Struthio camelus: one gene and its partner. The protein of the gene in region 1 binds, or shares a complex with, the protein of each later gene. Links are inferred from orthologs where the notes say so. Each region holds a gene or a part of one and is shown on either strand. Other genes may lie near its edges. The genes, in order: S100A10 and ANXA2.

Evidence for each region.
Region 2: the proteins of S100A10 (region 1) and ANXA2 are in contact, whole or in part, in a crystal structure (PDB 4FTG), measured with the Homo sapiens proteins. The link is inferred for Struthio camelus from reciprocal best matches to the Homo sapiens genes S100A10 and ANXA2. Residues at the interface, in NP_002957.1 of Homo sapiens: Phe39, Gly41, Phe42, Asn45, Gln46, Ala51, Lys54, Ile55, Leu79, Ala82, Cys83, Tyr86, Phe87, Met91; in NP_001002857.1 of Homo sapiens: Val4, Glu6, Ile7, Leu8, Lys10, Leu11, Ser12, Leu13.

The regions. Positions count from the first base shown.
Region 1 is NC_090971.1:403,607-417,947, reverse strand, and holds S100A10 (protein S100-A10), read left to right. Parts: upstream 1-9,718; 5' UTR 9,719-9,747; coding exon 9,748-9,924; intron 9,925-10,359; coding exon 10,360-10,503; intron 10,504-10,777; coding exon 10,778-10,939; 3' UTR 10,940-11,042; downstream 11,043-14,341. UniProt on the Homo sapiens protein: Because S100A10 induces the dimerization of ANXA2/p36, it may function as a regulator of protein phosphorylation in that the ANXA2 monomer is the preferred target (in vitro) of tyrosine-specific kinase.
Region 2 is NC_090953.1:19,868,026-19,883,045, reverse strand, and holds the start of ANXA2 (annexin A2), read left to right. Parts: upstream 1-8,373; 5' UTR 8,374-8,929; intron 8,930-9,571; exon of another isoform or gene 9,572-9,628; intron 9,629-13,963; 5' UTR 13,964-13,975; coding exon 13,976-14,023; intron 14,024-15,020. UniProt on the Homo sapiens protein: Calcium-regulated membrane-binding protein whose affinity for calcium is greatly enhanced by anionic phospholipids. It binds two calcium ions with high affinity. May be involved in heat-stress response.

The DNA of each region.
Region 1 (14,341 bases):
GCTATGAAAGACCCCCCCCACAAAGAGAGGAAGCCAGCTACACTGGGAAAACAGCTTAACCACCCAGACAGAAAAAAGGAGGACATCCCCCACCTTCCCCAGTCTCTTCCAATTACAGCAATCCTATGCCACAAACCTAGCCGGCGCAGAGACATCCACCCGCACCCTACTCAACTTCAGCGAAACTACTCCGAGGCATGAAGTTCCTCGTGAGCTTGGGCCTTTGCAGAACAGGCCTCGGGCTCTCATCCTGTGAAAAGCTAAGCGTATGAACTGCTCCACTGAAGTCACTTTGCTGCTGCTTTTCTGCAGGGCTGGAATTGGGCTCTTTGCAACAACTCCGGGTTAGAAACAGCTCCATCTCCACCTGGAAGTTAAACAGACAACTAAGTGTTTCTAGACTAAGCGTTTCTAACTGAAGTAGACATAGACTTTAAGAGTGACAGAGCAACCAGAAAACCTTAGTCAAACTCTTTATCCCTGCCCCAAAGGGCATGATGACACACTTACTTGTTTGCATCTCAGTTTCACCAGGTAGACTAGTGAAGGATGCTTCTGGGCTCTAGGCACTACTCAAAAACTGTAAAGAGACTTTGCCCCAACCTTGGATTAGGTGAACTCACAGAGAACCCCAAATCCCCAAGACACAGGAAGATCAGCAGAACAGGAAAGGGGAAAAAAAAAAAAAAACAAACTCGTTTTTATGTCTTGCCTAGCAACCTCCTCAACCCATCACCCCAGCTGACCCATAAAGGACCGAGTCCTTCACTGCCTTTCACACTCTCTTCTGAGCACAAAGTGTCAAATTTTGCTTGGTCAACCCCTCTGACTTCACAGGAGGGCAGCAGTGCCAGCATCGGGAATCTCTGCCTCAACTCTCCTTAGCAGCTGGCCCTTCTCCTCCACTGTCACAATCGCTTTTTGGGAAGGGAACAGCACCCTACCTTTGGCTTAGGAGGGGTTTTTTTTGCACAAGGGAGGGAAAAGCACTCAGGCATTTCTTCCTTTATGTTGTATCACTGCTAGCAAGCGCAGAGAGATCTAACACACTAAAGTATTTGTTATATATAAGGCTGGGAGAGCATTTTATGATTTGACAGACATCCACAGCAGCTAAAACTAGCTTGTTTTCAAAATATTCCTTTCCATATTGCTTGAGATGTTGGACCCTTTCCGAATACAATGGAGCTTTAAAACGTAAGAAATAGGGTAGCATTTTGCAGGATAGATTGCCCCAATCAGCTCCCCAAACCCGGCCAGAAATGGAACATATTTAACATACAGTTCCTAAATATACCCAAGCTTCATATTTCAACCCACCAGATGAGTAGAACTGATATAACAACCAGAACTGACATAACAACCAGATTCCTGCATGTTTCTCAGCAACATAGATCCAAAAAATTAGCCATACAGTTAGCGCACCTTCCCAGTTCCCAGGACAGCACACGAGCAGGCACTGCTCACGACAACCCGCAGCCCTCCGCTCACAGCACGGCTGACACAACATGGAGGGACTGCCTCGACTCCTGTCCAAAGACGCTCGCAACCAAACACTGTACACTTGGGAGAGGTAGCTGACAAATTAATTAGAGGACAAGACAGAGAGATTAGTTAGAAAAGAGCACATATAAATAGTTGCTGTTGCACAGAGCGTAAAGCAATCACCAAAAGAGACTTGAGAAGAAATAAGATTAATCCATAATCGTCCTGTTTGGAGGTTTTTGACCCTTTCTTTTGGATCACTTTGTATTTGGGTCAGCATTAGGGACAGAACAGTGGGTCTGAGCCAGTACAATAATGTCAATAGCTCAGAAAAATCATCTAAAAGTTTCTACTCTAATTAGAGCAGACCAGACTAGTCCCAGTCCAGAAAAGTGCACTTGATTTTATCTGCAGCTGCAGTTGAAAACTACACTGCCATCACTAGAAACTCTACCAGAGGCAAGGCCTGGCCATTAAAAAAAATAAAATAAATTAAAAAAAAACCCTCTGACCTGTTTAGCAGTAACTTTAGAAGCTTCTGCCATGTCTGCACCATACACTGAACATTATATACAGGCACAAGATTCCCAGGAGAAAGAAGCTGCTGTGTACAGTGTCAGATAAGCACCATGTATTTAAACCGCCCTTGGAGCTACGTTAGACAAGGGCTAAGGCTCTCACGGAAGTATTCGGCCATGCTACATTTAAATACGGTTTACGTCACTAGACAAATTATTTGTAACCCCATGAGGACAAACCAGATGTAAAAATAGTCCTATCAGCTGTTTTGAGGTGGGATTTTTTTTGATGTGTAGATTTGGTTGGGGAGTGAAGGTTTTTTTGTTTTTTTGTTTTTTTTTAAATGCAGAAAGTGCTTTTCACATCAATTAATTCCCTCTTCTAATTCCTACCACCAAGTGGCAAAGCCAGGAATCTCGTAAAAACTACAACCCTGATTTCACATGCCGATCTAATGCCCTCCCCCTGACCCGCTTCTCAGCGAATGCGAGCCCATGTAGACAACAGCTGGTTTTCACAGCCCAACTGCGCACCAAGCCTCTCCACGCATCGGAGTCCCATGCTCCCAGACACACGTGCGTCAGGGTGCCCCAGGAACAGACCCCTGTAAAAAGAGATCTCTCTGGTTACTGCTGGCATCTGAACGCTCTCCCACAATGCTTCAGCCACAAGCAGAGCCTGAGAGGCACAAACAGACCACCACCACCACCACCAGGTGGGAGTTCAGCCTGAGCTACCGCACACAGAAACACAGGGGGAGAAAAGAAGAAAACAGTACAGAAAATATTGAAGTGGGCTGTAAAGAAAGAATAGGAGAGTCCTCAGCCAGGCAAGTACCCAGTGGGCCATAACAACAGCATAAAAGCAGCCCAGGGTTAACTCAGGCTGCTGCCAAGGGCCAAGCAGCCACCAGCGTTCACCCAAGCGCTAGACTCACTTGACACGGACACAGGCCAAGTTTATGGGAGCACTGACAGTTCCAGAGCTGGTTAAAAGCTATGTTGTGCACACTGCTCAAAGAGAAAAAAACAGCTTAGCCAGCATCAGGGCCAGACACCAACTTGAAGTAGAAAAGAAATCAAAACCATGTTGAAGAAACCAGAAATAGTACCTTTTCTTGAGAGGGAACTCCAATCAGTGCTGAGCTGGAGCTATTCAACCACCACCGTGCGCTCTCCCTGAGCCTTCCCTACATAAATACGTAACAACACGTGACACAACGCTCAAGCCATGGAAACCGAAATGCAGGCGTTATGACCAACGTCACAGTCAGTCAGTGGCAGGGCCTGACAGATCCTGGCCGCCCACGCCAACGATCAGAGCCCTGGACCACGCTCAACAGCTTATCAGGAGGACAGTACACACTGCCCAGCTGACTTTATCAATATGCCTGTTTCCATCAGCAAAAAGACACCTGAGCAGGATTACTCAGCCCTCCCCCATTCAGAATTACCCACTATTTGACTACAGCAAAGCTTCCCAAACTTTTTCAAGTCCAGAAAGTCAGGCCAACCACAACCCCGTTACCACAGGCTGTTAAAACGTCCATCAATCTCGAGATACAAATCTGAACATATAGCAAGCTTGGTCTCTGTGCACCGCATAGAGGACTGAGCCTCTTCTCCCCCTACCTGTCCCAACGGAAATACTGTCCCAAGTTCCACGAATTCTTGTACTAGCCTTCACTCCAATTCTAGAAGGCAAAGAAAGCAACTGCTTTGCACTGTTGTAGCCAGACTCTTTTTTAGCAACCCCCTTATCAGTTCTGCTTGAAAACTCTACTACCCTCCTAAATCAAGGCTCTTATTTTAAGAGGGTTTAGGGCTCATCCAGTATGAAACACTGTCCACGTCACTGGGCTACACTCATTTGACACCAAGGCAGTCGCTCATCACTCAAAGCAGAAGTCAGCAAAAGGCAGAACGTTATCACTTATGCTAGCAGTTCCTTACAGGAAGACGAGAGGGATGGGTGAATCATGAGCATACTAGAAAAAAAATACATATACAAAAACCAACCTTACTGAGAAGCTCTTCTTGTCTTGTTTATATCCGTTCCGGTACGGCAATTTGAACACAGTGGCCAAACAAGAATTCTTAAGAAGTCTTCTATCCCCTTTTTTCCTTGACTTTTTAAATAAACTACCCAATAAAACTGCTTAAGCTCCTACAAAGAGTTTCACATATGGCTCTTATATCAGGGAAGCCTAACTTCCAAATTCAGAGTTCAATGTTAAAGCTGGTAGACTTGCCAGAAGCCACCCAAGAGATTTTTTTCTAACAACTCTGATGCCTAAACCTTCTTTTTTCCTACTTCACCCTAAAATAATTTATTGACATGGGGGAGGAGGAAGAGGAAGGTCCAGAACCAATCTTGCACTCTCTAGGTCATTTCTTTTAAAGACACCATTTTTGAAGAATTCGACTGTTTCTTTCTTACCAGCAGCACTTTATGCCACCCTCACAAACCAAGGAGATGGGCAGGCTGTTCAGAATATTTTAAATCTAAGTTTGCTTTCTTAATACAACACCTTTTTCCAGAAACTGAATTGGGTTAAGTTAGAAACCTTAATATAAAAGCCAAGAGAAGGTAATCTGAACTAGGTTACTTTAAAATTCAGCCCATACCTTCTCCTTCATGATTTACTCACAATTACAACTTTTAGTGCTTGTCTTCTCTCCACCAGCTCCTTAACACTAGTCTTATCTCCCAGGAGAGAGCCTTCTCTGAAAGCTGGGCCTGGAGATGGAGCGGTAAGCTGGTCTGTCACACAGCTAGCAGCTCTTCCAGCTTCTCCACTCTCAGTTCCCAAATTGTACAGCTGCGCTGTCCTACATTTGCATTAAATACTAAAAATAAAAACTCTGACTCTCCCAGAAATTAAAGCTCCCAAAATATGTAACTAAATCATCAAAATAGGGTTTTCTGAAGCTAGAAGGCAGTTAACGTTTCATTGCTTGCTCCTAAACTCTGCTCGCTTCCGTCCTCCCTTTTATTATCACATGCTGCACCAGCTCGGCAGCTCCCGCACGCCGGTGCGTGCGCGGCTCTGCTCCTGCCTTCCCTCCTCCTCCCTGGCCAGGCAAATTTGGCCTCCTCTGAAGGTGGGGAACGCCCAGCTTTTTAAGTGTCTTGGTCGAAAGTCCAGCAAGTGCTGCTCAGGGACAAACCTTTCCTCCCCCACAAGTCAATCTGCCTTTCCCTTCCCTCCCCTCCCCCCTAAAAAAAAATACAAGGAAAAGCCACAAATCCGGGGGGTTTGGGGAGCGGGCAGAGGGCGGCCTCTCCCAGCAGCGCCTTCCCCCCGCGCCCGGCGGGAAGGGCCGCCCGGGGGGCTCCGGCAGGAGGAGGGAGGGCGGCGGCTCGGCCGCCGGCGAGAGCACAGCGGCCCCCTTAGGCCCCCATGCCCGAGGGCCGGGCCGAGGCCTCTCCTGCTCCGGTGCCGGGCGGCCCGACCGAGCTGAAGGGGGAGGCGGCCTGGGCCTCTGCCCTCACCCCCGCTGGGACCCGCCGAGGCCTCCCCTACGCCGCCCCCGCCATGCCCGCCGGCTCGGCCCCCTGCTCCGCTATCCGGGCCGCGGCCCCGGCCCCGCCGGCGCTGCCGGGCTGCCCGGGCTGGAGGGCGCCGCGGCCTCCCTCACTCCCGCCTCAGGCTCGGCGCCGCCATGTTGGCTCCGTCCGCTCCTCTCCCCGCTCGCAGGCGGCCGCCGCGGCTCCGGCGCGACGCAACATCCGGGCCCCCTGGCTCCGCCCCCCCTCGCGCGCCAGGGCCCCGCCCACATCCGGGCCCCCGCTCACCTCTCTCCGCCTTCACGCCCATTGGGAAAGCTGGGGAGCCAGGCGCCCTCTTGGTTAAGGGCAGGCGGGCGGGCTCATCCGGGTCACCGGTGGCCGGCTTCAGCGCCCCTCAGAAGCATAGGGGAGCGCCGCCATGTCGGGTGAGGGCAAGCTGGCAAGCTGCCGGCCGGCCTCCCCGCCGTTAAGGGCACGTCGGGGTGCGGGCGCCATGTCGGGTGAGGGCGCTCGGGGACCCTCTGGGCGCGGCTTCGCGCCCGTTGCAGAGCATGAGGGAGCGCCGCCATCTTGCCTGGGGGCAGAGTGGCAGGAGGGAAGCGCTGGCAGTGCAGGGTGGGGAGGCCTGGGGAGGGGGGTCCCTGGAGGGGGGGCTGGGGGGGCTGGAGGCTCCCTGGTGGATGGGAGGGTCTGGCAGGGGAGGTCCCTTGAGGGCTGGGGGGACCCTGGGGACAGGGCTCGCCCCTCTCTCAGCCCCCATGGGTGCTGGGGAGCCCTTGCCCCCGGCCCAGCCCGCCCCCCTCCACCTCAGGGCGCTTTGGGGAAGGGGGGGGTCACCCCCACCTCCGGGTGGGGAAACTGAGGCAGGAAATGGGCACCCCCCCCGTTCTCACGTGGCACAAGTTTGGGGGGCTCAGCCCCAGGGGTCCCTGTGCCCCCCGGAGGGCGAGCAGGTGGGTTTGGGTGCCCCCCGGGTGCCCTTCCGCCACCCCAGCGGCTCCACGCGGATTCACCCCACTACGTAAGCCGCCCTGTGCGCCGGCTGGCTGGGAGAAGGACGCCCCGGGGTGCTGCGGGGGCGGCGCAGCGGCTCCCGGGCTCCCTGCCACCCAAAGCCGTCGCCCCGGGGCCCTGAACCCTGTGCCTGGGCTCGTTACCCAATTAGTCCTAATTACCCCCACGTGCAAGGCGCTGTGGGAGCCCTGTGAGGCCGGGAAAGGTCCCCTGGGGGGAGGAAGGGAACCCCAGTGCAGGGTGGGGGGGTCATGAGCTGCCCCGTTCTCTGCTGCAGGCCTTGGCATGCTGGGGCTCAGCAGCTGCCAGTGTGGGTGTGATGAGCTGTCCCGTTCTCTGCTGTGGGCTGGGGAGGGGTCCTCTGCGGTGGGCAAGGGCCAGGACAGCAGGGGGCTGGGGGTGATACTGGGAACAGGGCAGGGGGTGCAGCCTGGGGGACAGGGACACTGGGGGTAGACAGACAGATGGACGGGGGCATGGTTGGATCGAAGGGTAAACGGAGGGAGGGAGGGAGGGAGGGACAGACAGAGGGTTAAGTGGATGGGTAGGTGGATGAACGGATGGACAGAAGGATGGACAGGCAGGTGGATAAGTGGACGGATGGATGGGTATGGATGAATGCCTGGATGGAAGGATGGATGGATGGATGGACAGATATGTGGATGGGTGGGTGTGTGGTCAAGTGGATGAGTGGGTGGGCGGATGGACGGATAAGTGGCTGGGCAGATGGATGGGTCGATTGGTGGTTGAATAGGTGGGCGGGTGGATGAATGGATGGATGTGCAAGTGCGGGTGGGTGCCTGGATGGACAGACAGATGGCTGGATGGATGGTACATGCATGGATGGGTGCATGGCTGGGTGAACAGACGAATGGCAGGACGGATGGATGGTATGTGCATGGACGGGTGCTTGGCTGGGTGGACAGATGGGTGGATGAATGGATGGATGGTACGTGCATGGTTGAGTGGACGGATGGTAGACGAACGGATGGATGGTATGTGCATGGCTGGGTGCATGGATGGATGGCAAGATGGATGGATGGTAAGTGCATGGACAGGTGAATGGCCGGGTGGACAGATGGATGGCAGGATGGTTGGAGGGTACGTGCATGGACAGGTGCATGGACAGATGGATGGTACATGCATGGCTGGGTGCATGGCTGGAGGGCAGGGCAGATGGATGGTACGTGCATGGCCAGATGGATGGCAGGATGGATGGAGGGTACATGCATGGCCGGGTGCATGGCTGGAGGGCAGGGCGGACGGATGGTATGTGCATGGATGGGTGAGCGGCCAGGTGAACAGATGGATGGCAGGATGGATGGAGGGTACGTGCATGGACGGGTGCATGGCCAGGTGGATGGCACGTGCATGGCTGGGTGGACGGATGGGTGGATGGGCGAATGGTACGTGCATGGCTGGGTGGGTGGCCGGAGGGCAGGGTGGACGGATGATACGTGCGTGGGTGGGTGAGCGGCCAGGTGAACAGATAGATGGCAGGATGGATGGATGGTACGTGCGTGGCCAGGTGGCCGGCTGGGTGGCTGGGCGGACCCATGGTACACGCGTGGCCGGGTGCGTGGCCGGGTGGAGGGTACATGCATGGCTGGGTGGACGGATGGTACGCGCATGGGTGGGTGAGCGGCCAGGTGAACAGATGGATGGCAGGATGGATGGAGGGTACGTGCGTGGCCGGGTGCATGGACAGACGGCAGGCCGGAGGGCAGGGCGGACAGACGGACAGTGCGAGGAGAGGGGCGGGGGGAGCGGCTGGCCGGAGGCGGGCTGGGCTGGCGGCTCCGGGCGGGGGGCGGAGGAGGCGCCCGGGGCCGAAGGGCGGCGGCGGCGGCGGGGGGGGGCCGGGCCGGGCGGGGGGCGGCGGCGGGCGCTGAGTCAGCGGGGCCGCCCCGCACCGCCCCCGGCAGCCCGCACCGCGCCCGGGCGCCGCCACTGCCCCGCTCCGCTCCGCGCCGCGCCGCGCCGCTCCGTGAGTACCGGCCCCGGCGGGGGGGACCCCCGGGCGCCGCCCCCTCGGCGGGGACCCCGATCCCGGCCCGCCCTTGCGGGGAACGCGTTGCTGCCCCCCCCTTAGAGGGGACCCCCAATCCTGCCCCCCTTCAAAGTGGGACACCCCCTCCTCCCCGGGCATGACCCCCCTCGGAGGGGCCCCCCCGCTCCGGCCCCCCTCCGGAGGGGAACCCCACCAGCCGTGGTCCGATGGGGGGGGCCCAATCCTGCCCCACCTTCAGAGGGGGCCCCCCCTCGGTACGCCTCCGTTAGAGGGGGACCCCGATTGCGCTCCCCATTTGAGGCGACCCCCAGATATGCCCCCCCCGGGCAGGGGACCCCAAACTTGCCCCTTCTTAAAGGGGGACCCCCCCAGGAATGCCCCCGGGAGGGGGAGACCCCAATTCTGCCCCCCGTTAGAGGGGCACCCCAGGCTGGCCCCCCAGTACAAGGGGACCCTGATCCTGCACCCCTATTAGAGGGGGGGACCCCAATCCTGCCCCCAAAGCGGGACTCCCAGAAACGGCCACCCGGGGGGGCCCCCCCAGGCATATCCCCGCGAGAGGGGGACCCCGGCGCCCCCCCAGCTTGGGCACACGGGGGCCGGGACGACGCCGGGGAGCACCCGCCTCCCTGGGGCTCCCTGCACCCCGTGCTGGCACCCTCGCGCCCCCAGCGTTTGGGCCCCCCCGCAGGGGTGGGGTGGGGCGGGGGGGGATTTAGGGCATATTTCGCGTTCGCAGCGAGGCCCCAGCACCCGCCACGGCGGGGAGCAGGGGCGCGGGCGCTGCGCCGTCCGGTGGGGGGGGGACAAAGTCCCGGCCAAGCACCCGAAGCGGGGGGCGGCGGGCTGGGGGCACCCCCGGGCGGCTGCCCAGGCGGCCCCCGTGCCGCCCCGGGGCCGGCCGGCCCGTCGCCCGCGGCTGGCGGCTCCGGCCAGTTTTCCGAGCCACGGGCACCGGAGCGGGGCCAGTTCCTGTTTTCCTTCCCAGGGAGCTTCTCCGAAAGCAGATGGCGCGGCCGGCGCTGGGTGCGGCGGGGCCGCCGTCCCCCCCGGCCGCGACGCCGGCCTTGGCCCGGGCCCCGACACTTTTGCTCGCGTTGCAGCCGGGAGGGGAAACTGAGGCAGGCGGGAGGGCGGGCGGGAACCAGGAGTCCTGGCGCTGACCGCGCAGGAAGCGGTCCCGCGGGAGCGGGTGTGCCCCGCGCATGGCTTGCATCAGCCCCAGACCTCTGCCAGGCCCCGGTTTCCTTTCCCGAAATGTGCCGCAGGGAGCGGGGCAGGGCAGGACGCCTGGGCCCCCGCCCGGGTTTGCGGGGAGGGGCTGGCGGTGGGAGCTGCCAGGATGGTCGTCCCTAGCCGCATCGGGGCGAAGCTGGAGGCAGGTTTGCTGCTGGGTGCCTCTGCGGGGACCCTGCGGTCCGGGGCCGGGATGGGGAAACTGAGGCACGGAGCGCTTTGCATCCTCCATGGTGCCGCGTGCCCGAAGCGCCTCCCCGGCGTGACTCAGTTTCCCCACGCTGGGATGCCCCGCAGCAGGGTGGGGGCACTTGCAGGGCATCCCCCCCCCCCCCCCCCGTCCTGGCCGGGATGCCGGGACTGGAGCTGAGTCATTGCCTGCTCGCAGGGTGGAAAACACCAGGGCGGGCACCCCCCACACGTGCACCGAGCGGCGGCGGCCTCTGTGGGGAGCGTGCCAGCCCGCCCTGCTCCGGGCAAAGGTCTCGGAGCCAGACGGGGCGCGGGCTGGCGGCGGGCCCCGCGGCGGGTTTCCGTGGGGCTGGGGGGCTGGCGGCTGACGGCGCGCCCCATGTCCGCAGCCCCGCGCCGCCATGCCGTCCCAGATGGAGCACGCCATGGAGACCCTCATGTTCACCTTCCACAAGTACGCGGGCGACAAGAACTACCTGGCCAAGGAGGACCTGCGGGTGCTCATGGAGAAGGAGTTTCCCGGCTTCCTGGAGGTGAGGCCGGACCCCCGCCCACCCCCCGGCGTAGTGCCAGGGTCAGACCCCGCCACGGCGCGGTGCCGAACCCCTCCTGGCACGGTGCCACCATTGGACCCCCCCGTGGCGCGGGGCGGGGGTCGGACTCCCCCCAACACCGCACTGGCCTCCGACCCCTCAACGTGCCGGGCCGCGGGAGGCACCCCTGTGACCTGCCTGCCGCAGCCCCGACGCCAGGGTGAGGGCCCCGGCCCCCTCCCCCCTAACCGCCCTGCTCTCTCCGTCCCCCCAGAACCAGAAGGACCCCATGGCCCTGGATAAAATCATGAAGGACCTGGACCAGTGCCGCGACGGCAAGGTCGGCTTCCAGAGCTTCTTCTCGCTGGTGGCCGGGCTCACCATCGCCTGCAACGACTACTTCGTGGTGCACATGAAGCAGAAGGGGAAGAAGTGAGGGGGCCGGGAGCTGGGGCCGGCGCCCCAGGGGGCTCCTGCGCCCGGCACCCTCTTCCCCCGCTCGCCCCCAATAAAGTTGCCCAGTTGCGGTGTGTTTTCTACGATGCTGGAGGGGTCTTTTCCCTTGGGGCTGCCGTCCCTGTGTGGTCACCCTGGGGTCCCTGTCACCCCCCCGGGTGTGGATGTGGTGTCCCTGGGCGGTCCCTGCTTGGGGACACCTCACTCCCTGGTGGGTGCAAATGCACATCCGTGCACACACTGACACGCACGCCAGTGTGTTCAGGTGTGCGTGCACACACGCGTGTGCACACCCATGTGCACAGGCGTGCACATTGTGCAGACGTGTTCACACATGTAAGTATGCAATCACCCCAGTGTATGTGTGCCTGCAGGCACACACTTGCACAGCTAGGGACACGCACGCATGCATGCACATGCCACACACGTCCATGCACACGTGTGCACCCACACTTGTGACTGTGCACTTGCATGCACACACATGCCGACACGTGCATGCATTCACATGCACATGCATTCACATGCACTCACATGCATGTGCATGCATTCAGCCAGATGCATGTGCGTGCCTGCATACATGCGCACCCGTGTTCACAGACACATGCATACACAGATGCACACTCACCCATGCACACACACATGCGTGCCCATGCACACACATAGACACGTGCATATGTGCAAGGTCACTGGCATGCAGCGGACCCAGGCATCCCTGCCCTGCTGGGCCGTGGGGCGCCTGGGCCGGCGCCCCGAGGCCCCACTGCCCGCGGCGGCGCCTGGCTTCGGTGATTCAGCGTGTTTGGCCCAAACAGCGGTGGTTGCTGCAGCGACGGGGCTGGCTGGGCTGCGCATGAGTCACCCCTGCCTCCCCCCGGCCCCGCCACCACCCACGGGTGCCAGAGCAGCAGATGCTTCAGCAGCCCAGCAGCAACGCAGCCCAGGGGTGCTGGAGCTGGGGAAGGGGAGCCCAGAGCTGAAGGGTGCTGGAGCTGAAGGGTGCTGGAGCTGGGGAAGGGGGGCCCGGAACCGATGGGTGCTGGAGCCTAGGAGCGACGGAGTGGGGGGGAGGGGAGTGCTCAGAGCTGGTGGGTGCCAGAGCCAATGGGTGCCAGAGCTGGTGCCCCCAGACCAAGGGGTGTCGACATCCCCCAGCCAGGGATGTGCAAGGCGGTGTGCAGGGGGCAGGGGTGCAGATGGACGAGAGATGTACAGGGCTGTATAGGCCCATGTCTGGGGGTGTTCAGAGGCTGTATAGACATCTGTAAGGACTGTGCAGGGGTGTACAGCAGTGTATAGGGGCTGTACAGGGTTCTATAGGGGTACATAAGTGTGTACACGGCTGGTAAAGAGCTGAGCAGGGGTGTCTAGGGGGGTCTATAGGTGCCACAGAAAATTGTAGAGGTGTATAGGACCTGTACAGGGCTGTTCAGAGGTGTATAGGGGGCCTATAGGTGCTATAGAGAACCATAGAGTAGTGTGTAGGGGTGTGCAGGGCCTGTACAGGGCTTTGCAGGGTGTAAAGAGCTCTATAGGGGTGTGTATAGCTGTATGGATTTTTGTGGGGCCTTGTAGGTGTGTATGGGGCATATAGAGTGTGTAGGGGTGTATAAGGCCCACATAGGGCTTTGCAGAGTGTAAAGAGGTCTCTAGGGGTATATAGGGGCTATACAAGTCAGTGTGTGCTGTATGGGGTTTACAGCTTTTTCTAGGAGTGTATAAGGGTGTATAGGTCCCACACAGGGCTGTTTGGGTTGCATGGGATATATATGGATATATAGGGCTTGTGCAGGACTTTGCAGGGTGTGTAGGGGTATAGAGATGTATATAGGGGTATGAAGAGTTGTACAGGGGCTGTAGGGAGCTGTGCAGAGTGTATAGGGGTGTTTAGGCACATATGGGATTCATGCAGCGCTGTGCAGAGTGTATGGGGTGAATAGGGCTGTATGAGGTTCACACAGGAATGTATAGGGATCTATAGGGGTGTTTAGGGCCTGCACAGGGCTGAGCGGGTTGCATAGGTAGCTACAGTTGTGCGTAGGGGTGTATAGGGCTCATACAGGGCCTCTACAGGGTCTCTAGGGGTCCCTAGGGGTGAAAGGCCCACACAGGTCTGTAGGGGGTCTATAGGGGTGTATAAGACCCATAGACAGCTGTGCAGGGTGTATGAGGGGGTATAGGGTTGTGCAGGGCCCATACTGGGCTGTGCAGTGTGTATAGGGCTATATAGGGATTCCTAGGGTTGTATAGGGCCTGTACAGGGCTGTGCCGGGTGTAGGATATAAGGGACATACAGGGCTATGCAGGGGTGTATAGGGGTGTATAGGGGTCTACAGCATTGTGTAGTGATGTAGAGCATTCATAGGGACACAAAGGTGCTCTGAGGGCTGTATAGGGCCTATACAAGGCTGTGCGAGGTGTATAGGTGTATATGGAGTTGTTTAGAGCCTGAGCAGGGCTATATGGGTTGTATAGGGTTGTATAGGCCCGTATAGGGCTGGATATGGGTGTACAGGGCTCACATAGGGATGTATGGGGTGTACAGGGATGTATGGGGGTGTACAGGGTCTCTAGGGGGCTATAGGGCCTGTAAAGGCCAGGCTATAGGGCCTGTAAAGGCCTTAGGGTTCCTAAGGGTTGTATGGGGACGTGTAGGGGTTTATAGGTGCTGTAGGGAGCTGTGCAGGATGTACAGGCCCCCTACAAGGCTGTGTATAGGGCCCGGACAGGGCTGGGCGGAGATGCATAGGGCTGTATAGGGCTCTTACAGGGCTGTGCAGGGTTTTATAGGGGTCCATCGCGTTTTTTTGGCCCACGGAGTTTTTTTGGGCTGGCACAGGGCTGTATAGGGGTCTGTGGTGTACACAGGGGTCTATAGATGCCCGCACAGGGCCCTATGGGGCAGCCTACAGGGGTCCACGGGGCTGTAGCGGGGTCTACAGGTGTCCGGAGGGGTGTGCCGGGGTGTAGAGGGGCCCACAGGGGCGCCCATAGGTGCCCACAGGGCTCCATAGGGCTCCATAGGGGCGCCGAGGGCTCCGCAGGGCCCCGCCGCCGCCCCGGCAACGGCGCGCGCGGCCCCGCCCCTCGGGCGCGCGGGGCGGGCAGTGGGCGTGCCCTCGCCGTCACGCACGTCACGGGGCGGGCGCGTGACGTCAGGACGCTCCGGCGCGGCGCTGGAAGCGGTGCCTCGGGGTGAGGAAGGGGAGCGCGGGGCGGGGTCGAAGGTCACGGGAAGGTCACGGGGGAGGGGGCGGGGGCGGGGCGAGCGCCCCCTCGGCGCTGGGGGGGCCCGGGAGGGGTCGAAGGTCACCGGGGGTCGAAGGTCACCCGGGGGGGGACCCGGCTGCCACCGGCGAGACGTGGGCACTGGACCGTTCACTGA
Region 2 (15,020 bases), on another chromosome or scaffold:
CCAGGGAAGATACACATCTCACATGGTACTTCATCGTATTTATCAAAAGAATGCATTGTCTTGCAGCTGTAAAAGATTTCCCCTCCGCCCAAATAGATTGACAAGATAAAATACTGTACAAATTTCTTTGGCTTTTAAATACCAAATAATTTCTTGTGGCTTCATGTTACTCTGTGCACGCACACATGTCGAACTGTGCCTTGGATTTTGGGTTCTAGCTTTTCTATTTCTGTAAAAAAACTATCCTGAAGGCTTTTTTTGGTGCAGCTCCCAACTCCACAGGAAGGAAGACAGCTGTCTGTCTCTCCATGTTAGCTAGTCTTGCAGTCTCTTTCTCTGCTGCTTTAAACTCAATTATTCCATACAGACTAGGAAGGTTGCTGGTTATTGATATATTAATGACTTCCTGGACAGTAGTCATATCAGGAAAGTAAGCCTTAGTGTTGAAGACCTGTTTAGAAACCATCTTTATTTTTTCTATCACTACAGCCTTTCCCTTCATCTCCTTAAGGTTGTAGAGCTGTTCCCTTTGGGAGCACTAGCCACTAGCATGCAGGACACAGCAGTAAAAATTGTTCAGCTCCTCTGAAAGCATTTATTGGAGGCTTATGTGAAAGCAAATATTAATGAAACTGTTAATCATTACATGTGCTCATGCACAGTAAAACTACAAGCTACTGATACGTTTTTCTAATCCTTTAAAGGCAGAAGTATCTGGTTTTAGAATTCAAGTGTGTGCTTCTGACCTGGAAAAGCAAGTCTTAGCCTGCCTAGCAGAAATGAATCTCTTCATAACTGCCATTCCCTCTCACTGAATCAACTTTTTTTTTTTTTTAATTAAGTTACTTTGCCTTAAATGTGGTCCACAGTTATATATAAGATGCTACTTGAAAGACCGAAAAAGACATCAGTGTACCTAGTCAGATTTAATCAAGAAAGCTACCGTTTTTGAATTTGTGACATTCCTTTATGTCACAAGACATCATTTGTTCCCCAGCTAGTGCAGCAAAGGCTGACCCTAATTAGGTAGTGAAGTTCTGGTTGTGTAAGAACTAGCTCAAAATCCTAAGTGTTCTGTGCTATTCTGTACTTAAACAGAATTGATTTATTTAAACCTTCCAACTTTCCTGCTATTTCAAAGACTTGTTAATTTTAACTGAGATTTACAGGTGTGTTCCATATTGCTGTAGTAATATTATGCAGATTTTGGTCAGTGAACTTTAACTGGAAGGTGATTTTATATTGTAATTAATTTTCACGGTCCATTTCAAAGGTTGCATGTTGTTAACTAAAAAGGAGCAATTCTTTGCAGAATGCTACAATTTTGGCATAGGAATACACTGTTTAAGGATTGTTGAGAATTTGTTTTAAGATGGTGCCTAATTAGGCTCCTTGAAACTTTCAGAATTGTTCCCTAAGTTCTTGGGAACTTACTTAAGGTGAGACAGCCTCCCCTTTGTTTTGGCAGAGGCCAGAAGTTTACCCAAAACATGGGGCTGTTTATGTCAGGGATGTGGAAAAAACATAGAATAGTGGGAGACAGTAGAACAGGGCGGACCTGATTTTAAATGAAACCTTTTAACCCTCTTCCTAGGAAAAACTCCCCTGAGGATTTTTGGCAGCTTCCCTTTTATAGCTGGTTCTACGCCTTTAGCAAGAGAGACCAAGCTCTGTAGTGATTATTGATGCTGTTTTGTTCCTGATGATGTCAGGGACTCTGCGTGCGCCAGTAATGTTTCCTACAGTGTGTTGGCGGTCTGGGGAATGCTATTGTAGAGCTGGCAGCTATGATCACTTTAAGTACTGTGTCATCTAAATGGGTTCAAAATCTCTCTTAACGCTGTAATATACTGGTAGTCTGTGTATATACTGCCAGTGTTATGCTGATACTGCTGGGAGAGCTGAACTCACCGTAGCGGTTTTGTGAGGTGTGTTTTTTTAACCTATTAATGCATGTAGGACCACAGACAGGTTGGTATTTAGTTTCAGGTGGAACTGCAGCTCTCCAGCCCCTGAGTAGACTAAATTGTGATTGAAGTTACTCGTCGTAAGCTGAAAATAGAAAATGAAGTTGAATAGAAGTGATATCTGAGCTACGCTTTACAGCCATTGTGGTATCAGAGATTGCGTGCTCTTAGGATAAAAAGGCAATTGGTTATCAAGCAGAGCATCAGGAAATCCCTTTAGGATTAAGAAAATTCACTGAAACGTGGTTACACACGCAGCGACTGTTTGTTTGTACGTCCTGTGGCTGTTTCATTCACTGCAAAGATGCTGAGTGTGTTCATGCTGCTGATACCAGTGCAAGGAATTTGGCAAGCGTGTTTCACTTCTGTTTGTGTATGTCTCTAGGCAACCTCTCATAGTCAGACACCAGATTATTACTTCCCTCCTGTGCACTGAAACACCATGATTCTAGTGGTTAGCATTTTAGTTTAGAAAACAAAGCTTGAGTATTTCTGGATGGTATAAATACTTGTGATAAATGTGTGCCAGAGCAGTTTTATATATATATATATATATATATATATATATATGTACATACATATATATATATACACACACACATACACACACACACACTAAAGAACAGAAAAGTATCTGAATTGCTTGGTTATCATTTGTTCATGATACATATCCCTCACTGAGTCTCTCTTTGCCGCATGAGTATGCATACCTCTGACTTAGCTGTTGGCTGGCAGGAAAATGCGATAGCCTGGATTTGGTCACAGGATACCTGAAGTTGCTGGCCCATCTTGAAGACCAATTTGTATTATTTGTATCAGCTAGGTCAGAGTAATGAAGAATTACTTCCTTTTGAACATTGTGACTGGAGCGTAGATGATTCCATGCTGTTTTCTGTTAACAGCGGACAGCTGGCGCAATGAGATTTCACCACAGTCATTCAACCTTGATGTGTTCTTTGGCTTTTGGTGGTGACTTTAACTAGACTGTATATGTGCCCTGAAACAGCTTTTTTATCATTAGCTTGTGTGCATACTTGAAGGAGTTCCTTTCTGAATGAATCCTCTTAATTACAGTTTCAGCTGGTATTCTGCTTTCGTACTCCCTTTTCTTGAAGCAGATCTGTTATCACCCAGACTTCTTGTTCTTGATCTTCGCCTTGATCTAGGCGAGCTCCCTGTTGCCCATAGACTTAGGGTGATCCACCGAGGTTGTAAGATTTAAGGATAAGAACGACGGTGTAATTTCCGCCAGTGACAGGGAAAGTCATTGGAAGGAAAGCGGAGTTCAAGCTATGTTATGGTCAAACACAAGAGGAAGTCTCAGAGAAGGGATGATGAGCAGCAGATGGAAGTGAATTTGCAAGTATACAGAGTAGAAAAGTAATTGAAAGTAAGTCCAGTGCTAAAAGGGTATTGGAAGGTAAGAGGAGACTTTTGGAAGTCACAAGCAAGACACAACCTTGGTATGGTGAGAGAAGTAGATGTTTTACTACCCATTAAAAGTTTTTGCTGTCAGGTCCGAATGCAATGTATAAAGCACTTTATGATTCTGCGTGAGAGGCCAACTGTAAACCATAAAACCTGGCTCCTCATCTTCAGTTAGTGATTGCTAAAATACATACTTTTTCATGCATGTGTGCATGTTCATTAGCAGGTGCAACACTTAAGCTTTGCCCTGAAGAGTTAACAGTCAAAATATACAAGTTGCAGACTGGTTAAGTGAGAAGGCAGTGATTTGACTGAGATCACCCAGCAAACCGTGGCACTGCAAGGCATACAATCCAGGTTTCCTCTTTCTAAGCACACCACCTGCCCCTGTGCCCAGGGAGAACTTCTGTGATACGAACTGAATACTACCTTCACTACTTACTTACTATAATGCTTCATTTGTAAAATACATGTATAACAAAATATGTGCAATATGTCTAATACACAAGATCATTCCAGAGAAAAGTCTAGCTCTTATTTAAAAGGGTTTGTCTCAAGTAACTGAATGTTAAGCGTGGAATGACGTGTACAGGAACGTGCATGTATTTGTAGAAATTACATTGCACAGAATGGAGTTGATCCCAGGGATTAGCTTGTTAGGTGGAACACTTAAGAGGTCTGGTTTTCTGGTACTTTGTTAGATAAAAGATGGCTTTGGTATGCAATGTATATTTGAAAACATACAGCAGAATTACAATTCTGTAAAACTTCAGGTAAATTGTAGCAGGTGTTAGTGAAAAATGTTGCATCACTTTGAACGTTTACAGACTTTTACTAATACAGTCTAGTGAGCAGTATCTTTCAGCAGTATTTCTTTGTGCCTAGCTATAGATATAACCTTGCGAGGTTATTATCCTGGGAACCTGGGTGGCTATATATTATTAACTTTCTTTATAACCTGTGATCATTTTAATTGCCAGTAACAAATCCCCATACTGTTCAACTGCATTTCTGAGACAGTCTTTGCTTCTGCCTTTCCAGATCTAATGTTTTGGTTCTGCCCCCAAGATGGCTTGGACTCAGCTCCACCTTCTGATCCATTGATTCATCTACTCGGCAGATCTATCACTACTTTCATTGTACATGGGGGCTACTACAGTAGCTTTGTTTATATCATTGGAGTTTCCAAATTAGACCAAATAACCAAGGTGCAAAAATAATACCCAGAGGCCTGCCTGATCATACTTAAGCAAAATTGTGTTTATATTATACTCTCACAATACACTCAGTGAAGCAACATTGTACATACAGGCTCAGCCACATCTAAACCAGAAAGTCCTTTGAGTCCTTTCTCCTGCTCTTTTTTTTTTTTTTTTGGGGCATTGAAGAAAAAAGTTTAAGTAGCCAATAAATATGGACAGAATTGTGGCCTTCCTAACTACAATGTAAATCCATCATTGATTCTTTGTAGCAAGCATCCTGAAAGAGTATAAGCAAGATCTGTGTAGATGATGGAGCCAAATAATCAGGGACCAAAGTGAGAAAGAGTAGAGATCTTTTGAGAGCCGGAGTGACCCCATTTCCATTAATGTAATTACAGAGAGAATGCTTGGGTCAGAAGGAGAGCTTAAATTGAATGCTCAAGTTAAACACATCAGGTCTCTAATAGTACAACACGCTAAGGTGATAATGACAAGAAAAGCTAAAGGTGTTGGTGAGATGGGAGAGCTTAGGTGTATTAAATTGAGAGTAAACAAAGAGAAAACTAGTATCAATCAATATTAAACAGGAACAAGACAATAGCAGAGTCGGTGGTGATAACGTCACTGAGAAGACGGAGTAAATGGACCTAGAGGCATGCACTGAAGACTGTGGGATGAACCACATTCGCAGGAAGCTGCCGGAAGGGAGGAATGAGAAATCAGCACAACTGCATCTGTTTTCCCATCCTCGGGACTCTGGGGAGCTCCATTTGACAAAAGTGCTCACTCTCTCTGATGTTTGCGGTCAGCATGTGGGAAGCGGGAGCTCACGTGTAAGTAACTGCAGCTGAAGAAGTTGCAGGTTGTTTGACCTTCTATGCAGATATTTTAAGGGGTTGTGGAGACTAAGCAATGTGAGAGCAAACTGAAAACCTTTCTGGGCACTGCCTTGCCTGCAAGCCAGTTGCAGCATGTTTCTCATCTACGAGGAAGGTGCAGAGACATCCTGGGCTCATGATAACCGCAGGCCTGGTCCCAGCTTTTCGCTAATGGTAGTTACTCTGATGCCGTGCTCGGGAGTGGTGGTCATGGATGAGAACCCATTGTGATAGGTGCTCTACACATCCTCTAAGCTTTGGTTAAATCTTCAAAAATAACCCACGTGACTTAAACGTATAATTTTTAGAAGTGATTCAGGCGCTTGGCTGCTGTGCTTCTACTGAATTAATTTCCTCTCTGGCAGATAGCAGAAGTCTTTTCTGTTTGCACAGTCTGGCTGCTGCCTTCTTCAGCTCGTGGGTGTTGCAGTGTTTTTTTCCTCAACAATATGAAGAATGTGTAGTATTTCCATGGGCAAGATCACCAGGCCTTGGTATTAGGACGTGTTTGGTTGTTCTGCCAGAAGCGTTAATGGCTTTTCTGCTGTTCGTGCCACTCAGATTCCTTCACTGGTACTAGTGCTTTGATGTCAGCTGGGCTCAATAAGCAGAGACCAAAAGAGGGAATTCATCATATGTTTTAATATATTTTTCATGTCTTCATGACTATGAATACAGTTAGTATTTTTTTCTCCTTTCTCTCTCTCTCTCTTTTATCACTTCCACAGTCCCTGGTTTAACTTCAGAGAGGCTGTTGAATCCCTGTCTGTCTATTTTAAACCGAAGACTTTCACTGAGGTGAATGTGGGATTCTCGGATTGAATAACTGATGGTTAAGTCAGGTATTAGAGACAACATCTTGATTCCCTTTCTGGGAGTTGTTGGAAATGCTGGAAAAATCTTTTTATGATGTAGTTAATGTAGATATAAGAATTCATTTGATATCAAAGGTTTTGCAAAATGTTCATGTTAAGATCTAGTTAACTAAAATCCAAGGTGGTATATGAGCTACGCAATTTCAAACTTTAAGTAGTATTGAGTTATTAGAAAGAGAACAGTCTTCTAAGGAAATGGGTTTTGTATTGTCATTGGAACAGACTACAGTAAAGCATTGAAAGGTAAATGGACCTTCAGTTACAAGAGTGAAGGTGCTCGTCTCTGAGATTGAATGAACTCAGTATATGGCTCAGCGTTTTTATACGACAGTGCAACATACATGCTGCATCTTGGTAATATGTTGCATATGTGGAAACTTTATTTTTCTTTAAGCTCAGCATATTCTGGGGATGCTTCCACTGCTTTGCTTTGAGAACGTTTGGAAAGAGATGAGGGAAGAAATCATCCCTGAGAGATCGTGCAGCCGTTAGTAGGCAAGCTGGCTCTCTGGCTTCTCGGATATTTATCTCTATTTAAACCCCCTGTGAATATTGCAATACAGAACAGCTGTTACTTCTAGGACTGCAAGTATTTTTGATCTGTAATCACCTTTCCAAGTCTTTGGTGATTTTTCTAAGAAACCTGAAAAGCAGGGGGAAATTATCTGTTTAATTAAGTAGTTAGTGGCAGACACTGGTATAACTGGAATACCCAGGAATTAATTTTTAAAAACAGATTCAGTAATACACAGAAATAACCCCAGTGGCCCTGCCAAAAAGAAAACTAGCATGTTAAACTAATGCACCACTGTCACTGATGTCCGGTCAGTTTGACAGGATGCTGTGCCGTGACACGCTTTTCCTGTGGCCATCCTCTTCATCTCATTTTGGTTTATTCGGAAAAGGGCTATTAAAATCATTTTCTCCTGCTGCAATGACGGGTTCATCCCTCTGCTCTCTTTTGCTTTCATGTGATGTTCAAAGTCCAGTGTAATAATATTTCTTCCTTTTTGATCTGTGATCTTGTTTTATCCCAACAGTTACTCCGTGTCTCAGCCCGCGTTCCTGTGTCTGTGTTGTGCATGCTTGCTTTTTCCACCCCTGGTTTTATGCTCCTGGTCAAGCGTAAAACTTTCTTGCCCTCTCTCTGCCAGAAGACCCCTCTATCTTAAAGCCTGAAAAAAAAATCCTTTGTAGCAGAGGCAAATATCTCCTTGCATAAGCAGATCCGCTCTGTGGTGGCATTCCCCAGATGACGGCCTGAATGACTGCCTAATGGTCACCAGTCAATTGGCCACTTCATTGTGGTGAAACAGTAAGCTGAGGTGATCCAAACAGAGATCTTTTGCATCTTGGCTGCTTTTGGCTTCTTTACTGGATCTTGCTTTTGTGACGGTGTGGTGTATGGGCTCAGATAACTAGTGAGAGTGGCAGAGGCACTTCTTTCTTTTTTTTCTCTCCTTGCTGTGGTATGCTTGTTAGTTCAGTTATGCTCAGATAATCCTTCGGGCTTTATCTTTGCCGAGCTTGGGGCAGAAGTAGTGCCGCCTTCTTCTCATGTTTATTGCTTGCAGCACATGTGATTTACACTTCTTGCAGCTGAAAAGTACTGGGATTTACACACCAAAGAGATCTTAATTTTTTCAATATTGTTGGTCTAAAGCAGGCTTGGCCAGAGCTGCAGGCAGTGAGGACGGCGCTTTGCTGATTGCTAGAGGCCAGAGCAGGAGAGCGCAAGCCAGGCAGGGATGACTCGGTCGCAGTGAGTGCCCTGCTCCGGGGAAATCTGGGGTGACGTGTCCAGGCCTCGGCTCCGCGCGGCGCAGCTGTCCCCAGCCCGCCTGGGAAGGAGAAGCTGTTTCCTGAGCAAGAGCCCAAGTCCTGCCACAGCGGTGTGGTTTTGGGCAACCCAAAGTACAGGCTGCAGTGACGCAAACCGCTGTCGCGGCAGCACAGGGGACAGAGCAGGAGTTAGGGTGAAGTGTGGGTGGGCTGCCCTCCCCTCCCTTTCCCTGGGGCCCCGGGCAGCTCCTCGGGGGGAGGGCGGCGAGGAAGCGGGAGCTCCCAGGGGAGCTGGGCAGCCCCGGGGTGGAGGGGGGTGAGCGCAGGGTGCTGCGGGGCATGGGAGAGAGACCTCCCTGCCCTTCCCCACCCCATCACTGTCCCCCCCTCCCCTGCCCTTCCCCACCCCATCACTGCCCCTCCTCCTCCTCCTCCCCCCCTCCTCCCCTGCCCTTCCCCACCCCATCACTGCCCCTCCTCCTCCTCCCCCTGCCCTTCCCCACCCCATCACTGCCCCTCCTCCTCCTCCCCCTTCCCTTCCCCACCCCATCACTGCCCCCCTCCTCCCCCCCAACCCTTCCCCACCCCATCACCGCTCCCCTCTTCCTCCTCCTCCTCCTCCTCCTTCCCCACCCCATCACTGCCCCCCCTCCTCCGCCTGCGGGAGGCAGGCGCGGCCGGCGAGTCAGCGCCGCGCCGGGGCGGGGAAGCAGGGTCCTCCCGGCCCTACAAAACCCCGCCCGGGCCGCCGCCGAGCCCAGCCGCCGCCAGAGCCGCCGCCAGAGCTGCCTTGCCAGGTGAGACCCCGCCGGTGCCGGCAGCCGCCGCGCCGCGCCGGGCCGGGCCGGGCCGGGCCGGGGGTGCGGGCTGGAGCGGGGCCCCGGGTCGGGACAGCGCGGCGGCGGCCGGGGCCGGGCTGGGGGGCTGGAGCGGGGCGGCTGCTGCGGGCTCCCCTCCCTCCCTGCCTGCCTGCCGCCGCCGCCAGCCCCGCACCGCGGCCGCGCTCCGGAAAGAGGAGCCGCGCCCAAACTTCGCTGAACTTCCCCAAATAATCTCGTAATCGTCCCGGAGAAGGTGCGCAGGGGCCGCTCAGCGCTGGTGCCCGCAGCGAAAACGCACGGCTGGCCCCGGAGCCGGGCAGGGGCGCGCCCCCCCCCCCCCCCCCCCGGGCGGTGCCGGAGCCGCGCGGAGCGCCGCGGAGCCGCGCCCGCCGGGCGGGTCTCCCTGCCGCCCGGCCCCGCCGTGCGCGGCGTTGCGGGGCGCTCGGTGCCTTCTGGCCGTGAGTCAGCTCGGCCGCCGCTCCCCGCCGGCCGGGAGCGGGGCGGGGGCGGCAGGGCGGCTGCTGCGCGCTTTGGCTGGGAGAACAGTGAAGTGTTTTCGGGGTAGTCTGGCAGCAGTGAGCTGCTTTCTTACACGCGGCGCTTTTGATCCTTTCCCAGGTTAATCGTTCGTGCTCAAGTGCTGTCTCTTTGCACAAATATTTAGGTGCCCTACAGGTAAGCAAAAGAGTGAGGGAGTCTTTGGGAATTTCAGTGCTGTTGAGCTGTTCGTCTGTCTTCTTTCTGTTGGTGCAGCTAGCTACAATAAACGTCCCTAGTGGGTACCGTTTTCCATTAATGTATGGAATGGTTTTCCTTGATTTAAAAGCAGTCATGTGCTCCATCCCCATCGAGTCTCAGAAACAAGATAATGTTAATTCAGAGAAATAAAGATCCTCCAGTTTGCATATGCCTAGTATCTTCCCGCAGTGGAACATCTGCGGGGTTATTAGCAGCGTCTGTGGAAGAAACGGTTGAAAGAGATGCATTTTCCATAGTATTATTTTATGGTTTAAAGTAATTTTTTTGAGATCCTTTTCTTTAAAGCTACTTTTTTTCCTCCAAACAGCGACTTCAAAATGATCCGCTAAGCATTATGGTATAGTTGGGGGAGACAGTCTGGCGTATTTGTACTTGCAGTTACCACTGTGTATCAGTGAGTGTTTTGAGTCCTTGTTTTGCTCCCAGCAGCCGTTCTGGTCCTTCTTGGTTCTGCCTCCTCCCTGCTCTCCCTCTGTCTCCGCCGTGGCTGTGCCTCGCCCTAGTTTGGAGACCCGACACAAAGCTGCTCCCAGTGGAAGAGTTTCCGTTCTCTCATTCCGGGGATGCCGTTTCCTTGGCTCATGTGTCTGGGAACACCCTTTGTGCAATCTCTTGCCTACAGGAGCAGATTAAGTTCTTCTTAAAATGCTAACTCTGCTTATTGAGCAACCTAGTTGTTTGTTCATACCTGGCACTTTTTTCCGTTGGTTGATCTCATGGGATTTTTTTTTCTGCTCTAATATACCTGAGCTGCACCTGGGAATCATGGTATGGGGCTACTTTTGAACACACCTCTGTCCTCCAACTGTTACGAGGACAGGGTATTGAATATAGACTAGGCCCAGTCTAACAGGCTTGCAAGTCAGTGATTCCCCTTTGGGGAGGGGGAACTGGGCTTCAAAATGGATGTTAATCTCTTTTGTAGAGTAACATTGTGATTCAGAATTACACGGTATGGACTTACTTAGGAGGAAAAACTGGTTGTTGAAACTTGCCTGAAGGTATTGTAGTGCTAGTTTACAGCTGGAAAGTAGAAGTTGATCCTTTGCAGTGTAAGGAAGAACAAGTTAGTGCATGTATCTTCTATTTACATACACAAATCCAGCCAGAACTTGTCAAAACTGCGTCAGATAAAATCAGTCTATTAGAAAACAGTGAGAGTCTATTCACAAATATGAGAGCGTTACAAAGTCGAGCGTGACAAGAAATGCATTTGTTCTCTCAGTGAAGCTCTTTCTCTGCAGTTCCTTGCAAAAATTCCTGTTTTGCCAGCTAACAAGGGTGTGTTAGTTCTGTTCCTGGACTCGGGTCAAGTTTTCTGTTCCAACAAGCCTGATTCAATGTGGTTTTTATTTAATTTAGAAATAGGAGTCTTCCAAAAAGCTGTTCAGTGATTGCTTTGTGAAAGATTATGCTGCAATTGCCTTGAAAGATTATCCTGCAATTGCTTTGCTTCAGCTTTCACTGTGATGCATTTCAGTTCTTTGCGGCAAGTAAGAATAAAAAACGTACTCGTTGCAAGTTGTTTATCTCTGATATTGGTTGTAAAGATTTCAGAGTCTAAAGGTCTCATTGTTAGGCACTTCATTTTATTAAGAATAAACATTAAGAATTTCATAACTAAGTAATACATCATCCCCCTTTAACCAGCTCCGTTAATAGAGCCAAAAGCAGGCAGCACCTTATTACAACTCTGCTGCTTATCTTTAAAAGGTGAGGTTAGATTTTTGCTGTAAAAATACTTATTCTCAAATAATAGGTTGATATGGGAAGCTTTGTCTGTGCTTTTTACTCTCGTTTTCCTCCCTGGGTTCTTAATATTTCCTTAAGTGGAGTTACTTTTGTTACTCTTCCACCTGGATTGCACCAGAAGATGAAAGGTTTTCTTGCTGCGTTCTAAGTGAGGAAAGGTGTGATTACAACACTTATACTATAAAAGCATTTTTCTGCATTTCATTCTGAAAGGGGAATGTATAATATATACATTCTGTACATTATACATGTTCTCTGTGTGTGTGTATATTTTCTGTAATATATATAATATTTGCTAAGTTTTCTAAAAGTAAGGATTTTTCTGCTTTACCAGACATCCTATACAGCAATCTAGTTTATTTTTCTATTTTGTTAAAAATACTAATGGAACTCAGTCTCGGTTGTTAAAAAATAAGATTCCTCCATTTTCAAAATTAGAAATTAGATGAGAAATAAATCTAGTCCAGCTGTTTCTGTTGTTTCTGCCTTAAATTTGACTAACTCAAAAGAGGGGAGGAAAAAAATCATTACTTCAAAAAGCTGCAACCAGATATTTAAATGGGCAATATTTAGATGAATTGAAGTAGAGCGGGGAGAAAATTTGAATAAACAGTCTGTTTGCTCTGTAAGCAGTGAACACTTTAATAGCTGGACGAATATGTATAGAAAAGCACTTAAAAATGATGCTCAGAGCACATGAGAAGAACAGCATGCTTCATTTTAGTCTTTAAAACGTATGGTGCTGCAGTTCTTAAGTACTTTCATAATAATTACTTTTTCAACCATATAGTGCTGCTGTCATATCTACCAACCAAATCTTAATTTCATTTTACAGCTTTTGTATAAGCTCATTGTGTTCCTTAGTATCACTTTGGGACTTCAGTTTTCTCAGAATCCTTCTTGGCACTCCTGAGTGACGGAGTGGGCTTTTTTTTTTTAAACTTCAACTAGAGTACTTCTCTTGTAACTACTGTAAAAGGCTTGATGGAGAAAAAAGAAAGGTTTTTAGGAGCTAAAACAAAGAATAAACTCTTGCTTTAGATTTTTAACCAGATCTCCGCTGTTTAGAAACACTTGCAGGCTTGCTTCTTACTCTTCTCCTGTCAGCTCTTGGTTTCAGATCCCACTGTTAGGTGGTGAGAAGTGTGCTTTCTCCGTCTGGGAAACTTGCCAGAGCGGTTAGTACTACGTGCCCAAGAAGGCCCCAGCATCATCAGGAGAGTAACTGCAAGGGGATAAAGTGGAGTTTGAAAGCCCCTTGGCAGGACATAGGCAGGACTGGCTGGGTGGCCGTTGGGCCAGGGTCCCTAGGATGGACGGGGAGCTGGTGACGGCATCAGAGTGACGGGCAGAGAGAGCCCTGGGGAGCTTCTGCATCCTGGAATTTCGATTCCAGGCCCAGTTATGGGATGAAATGAGTATCGCTGATCCTGAGGTGTTGCCACTGTTTCTCTCCTACCTCTCCATGAGCTGACTCTTTCCCCTGTGTCTCCCCCTTCAGCAGAGGAATTTGGGAGCTGAGTTTTAGGAATGCATCAGGCAGCTTAAATGTTGCCTCTGGCTTATAACCTTGGGAAAAACATTTCTCCTTAGTTGAGAGACCCTTTCAGTAAAACAGTATTACAGCTCTGGCAAACTTCCCTGACCAGAAACCAGAGCTGGAAAAAAGCAGGGTGTTGTAACATAAGCACTTCACATCGATGTTCGTTTTTGCAATGTTTATGATTTCTCTAGTAGGGTTTTTTCTGTTTTATCTTTTATATATGTAGGCAAGATATTACTAACTTTCTGGCAATGGAGCAACATTGTTGATTATCATGTCTCATTGGCTATTCCTTTTGGAACTGTCGTTTTGAAAGAGTCCTTGTTACCTATCACCTGACAATCATATTATTAATCGGTATTTGTAGTGTGTCCTGTGATTCTTATTGCTGGGTACTGGGGAGCCACTACAGCACCATATCATATTAGAGGCATTTGTGGCCTGCGTCCAGTAGTAAAGATTGAACAGCAATAATGATTTTATAAAACGTCTGCATGAATATAAATAGTTTCAATGTATTCCTTGAGCACCCGAGGAATTTAGCCTCTGATTGAAGTGCTATTAGTTGGTGTTCCTTTTTGGCTTTGAGCTGAACCAGGCTGTCGTACTTCTCCGTGATTTTTGTGATACTGAGTTCAGGTTCAGTTGATTCTCTCTCTAAGATGGAGATTCTCCACTTTCTAAGTTTAAATATTTAAAATGCAGTACAAATGGTTTCTTAAGGAATGAAGATAAATTTTTCTTGTACAATAGACAGAAGCCCTCTCACTGTTGCATTATCAGTGATGCTGTGACTCGGACACTCTTAAATCAGTGTTCTTGTTTGGGATGATCAGTCTTACTGGGTTGCCCCAACTTCTCTAATGCAGTGGTTCAGGACCATTTAACATGCTATTATAATTGTAAATATATTTATTTAAGTCGTCTTGTTTTGCTTTTCTTTCTTCCCCCTCTAGCTTTCTTTCAAGATGTCTACAGTCCATGAAATTCTAAGCAAGCTTAGCCTTGAAGGAGATGTAAGTATTATTATTCAAACCAGAGTATTATATACTCTGTGTATAATATACTCAGTGTATAGTATTATTCAAACCATTTTCTCTCTCCTTTTTAAATGCCATATCTTGTTTCCTTTACAGGACTCTCTACTAACATTTGTACTGAGCTGTAGAGTGTATAACTTTCCACACATCTCTTCTACTTAAACTGATCTTGACTAAAAGCTTAGTCTACTGTGGTCAGTCTTCAGCCGTGAGGCAGCTGTGAAGCATGGGACAGTTAAGAGATGGCTAGATTTAATGGAAGTTCTGACTGAGCAGCAGCATGAGCAGTACTCGTGTACTGGGCCCTGTGAGAGAGATCACAGGGCAAACTGAGTAGGTAGTTCAGATCTGTGATCCCCATTTCTTCTGAAGGCACAAATGAGTTCAGGTTGGTTAGAGGAGATGGAAATGGAAATGTGTTTGCTTTTACTGACACCTTCCGAGTTCCACTTTTTTCGATTAAAAATGGAGATTATTAACTAATGAGGAGGACAGTATTGGGGATCTTATTCATGCACTTTTTTCACCAAAACCCAAGTACTTTCAGTGAAAACTATAAAATGAGAAAATAATTTTTTCAAGAGCTATTTTGAAAACCTGAAGAGTCTCCTTTTTGTTGGGGTATTTTCCACCACATTTACACTGTCTGATTTTTTTTTTTTATTGAAATTCCAGAAAGCCACACTCTCTTTGATTTCTCCTGTTGCAACATAACATGGTAGTGTTACCAGTGTAATGTCAACGTATTTGCTGTGAATTTGTGACTCTGATTTATCACTGAAGGGGAAGTGAATCCCTTTTGTGGTATCATCTCATCGTATTGCTAACGAGCTTACTATAATTTCAGATTTTATAACTGATAACTGCAGAGCAGTTGGTAAAAGCAAACTTTTTGCTTATTTTTGTTACTTACTATGAAATAAATGACACCATTTGATCTTTGTGAAAAGAGCTGTTGCAAAGAACTGGTTAG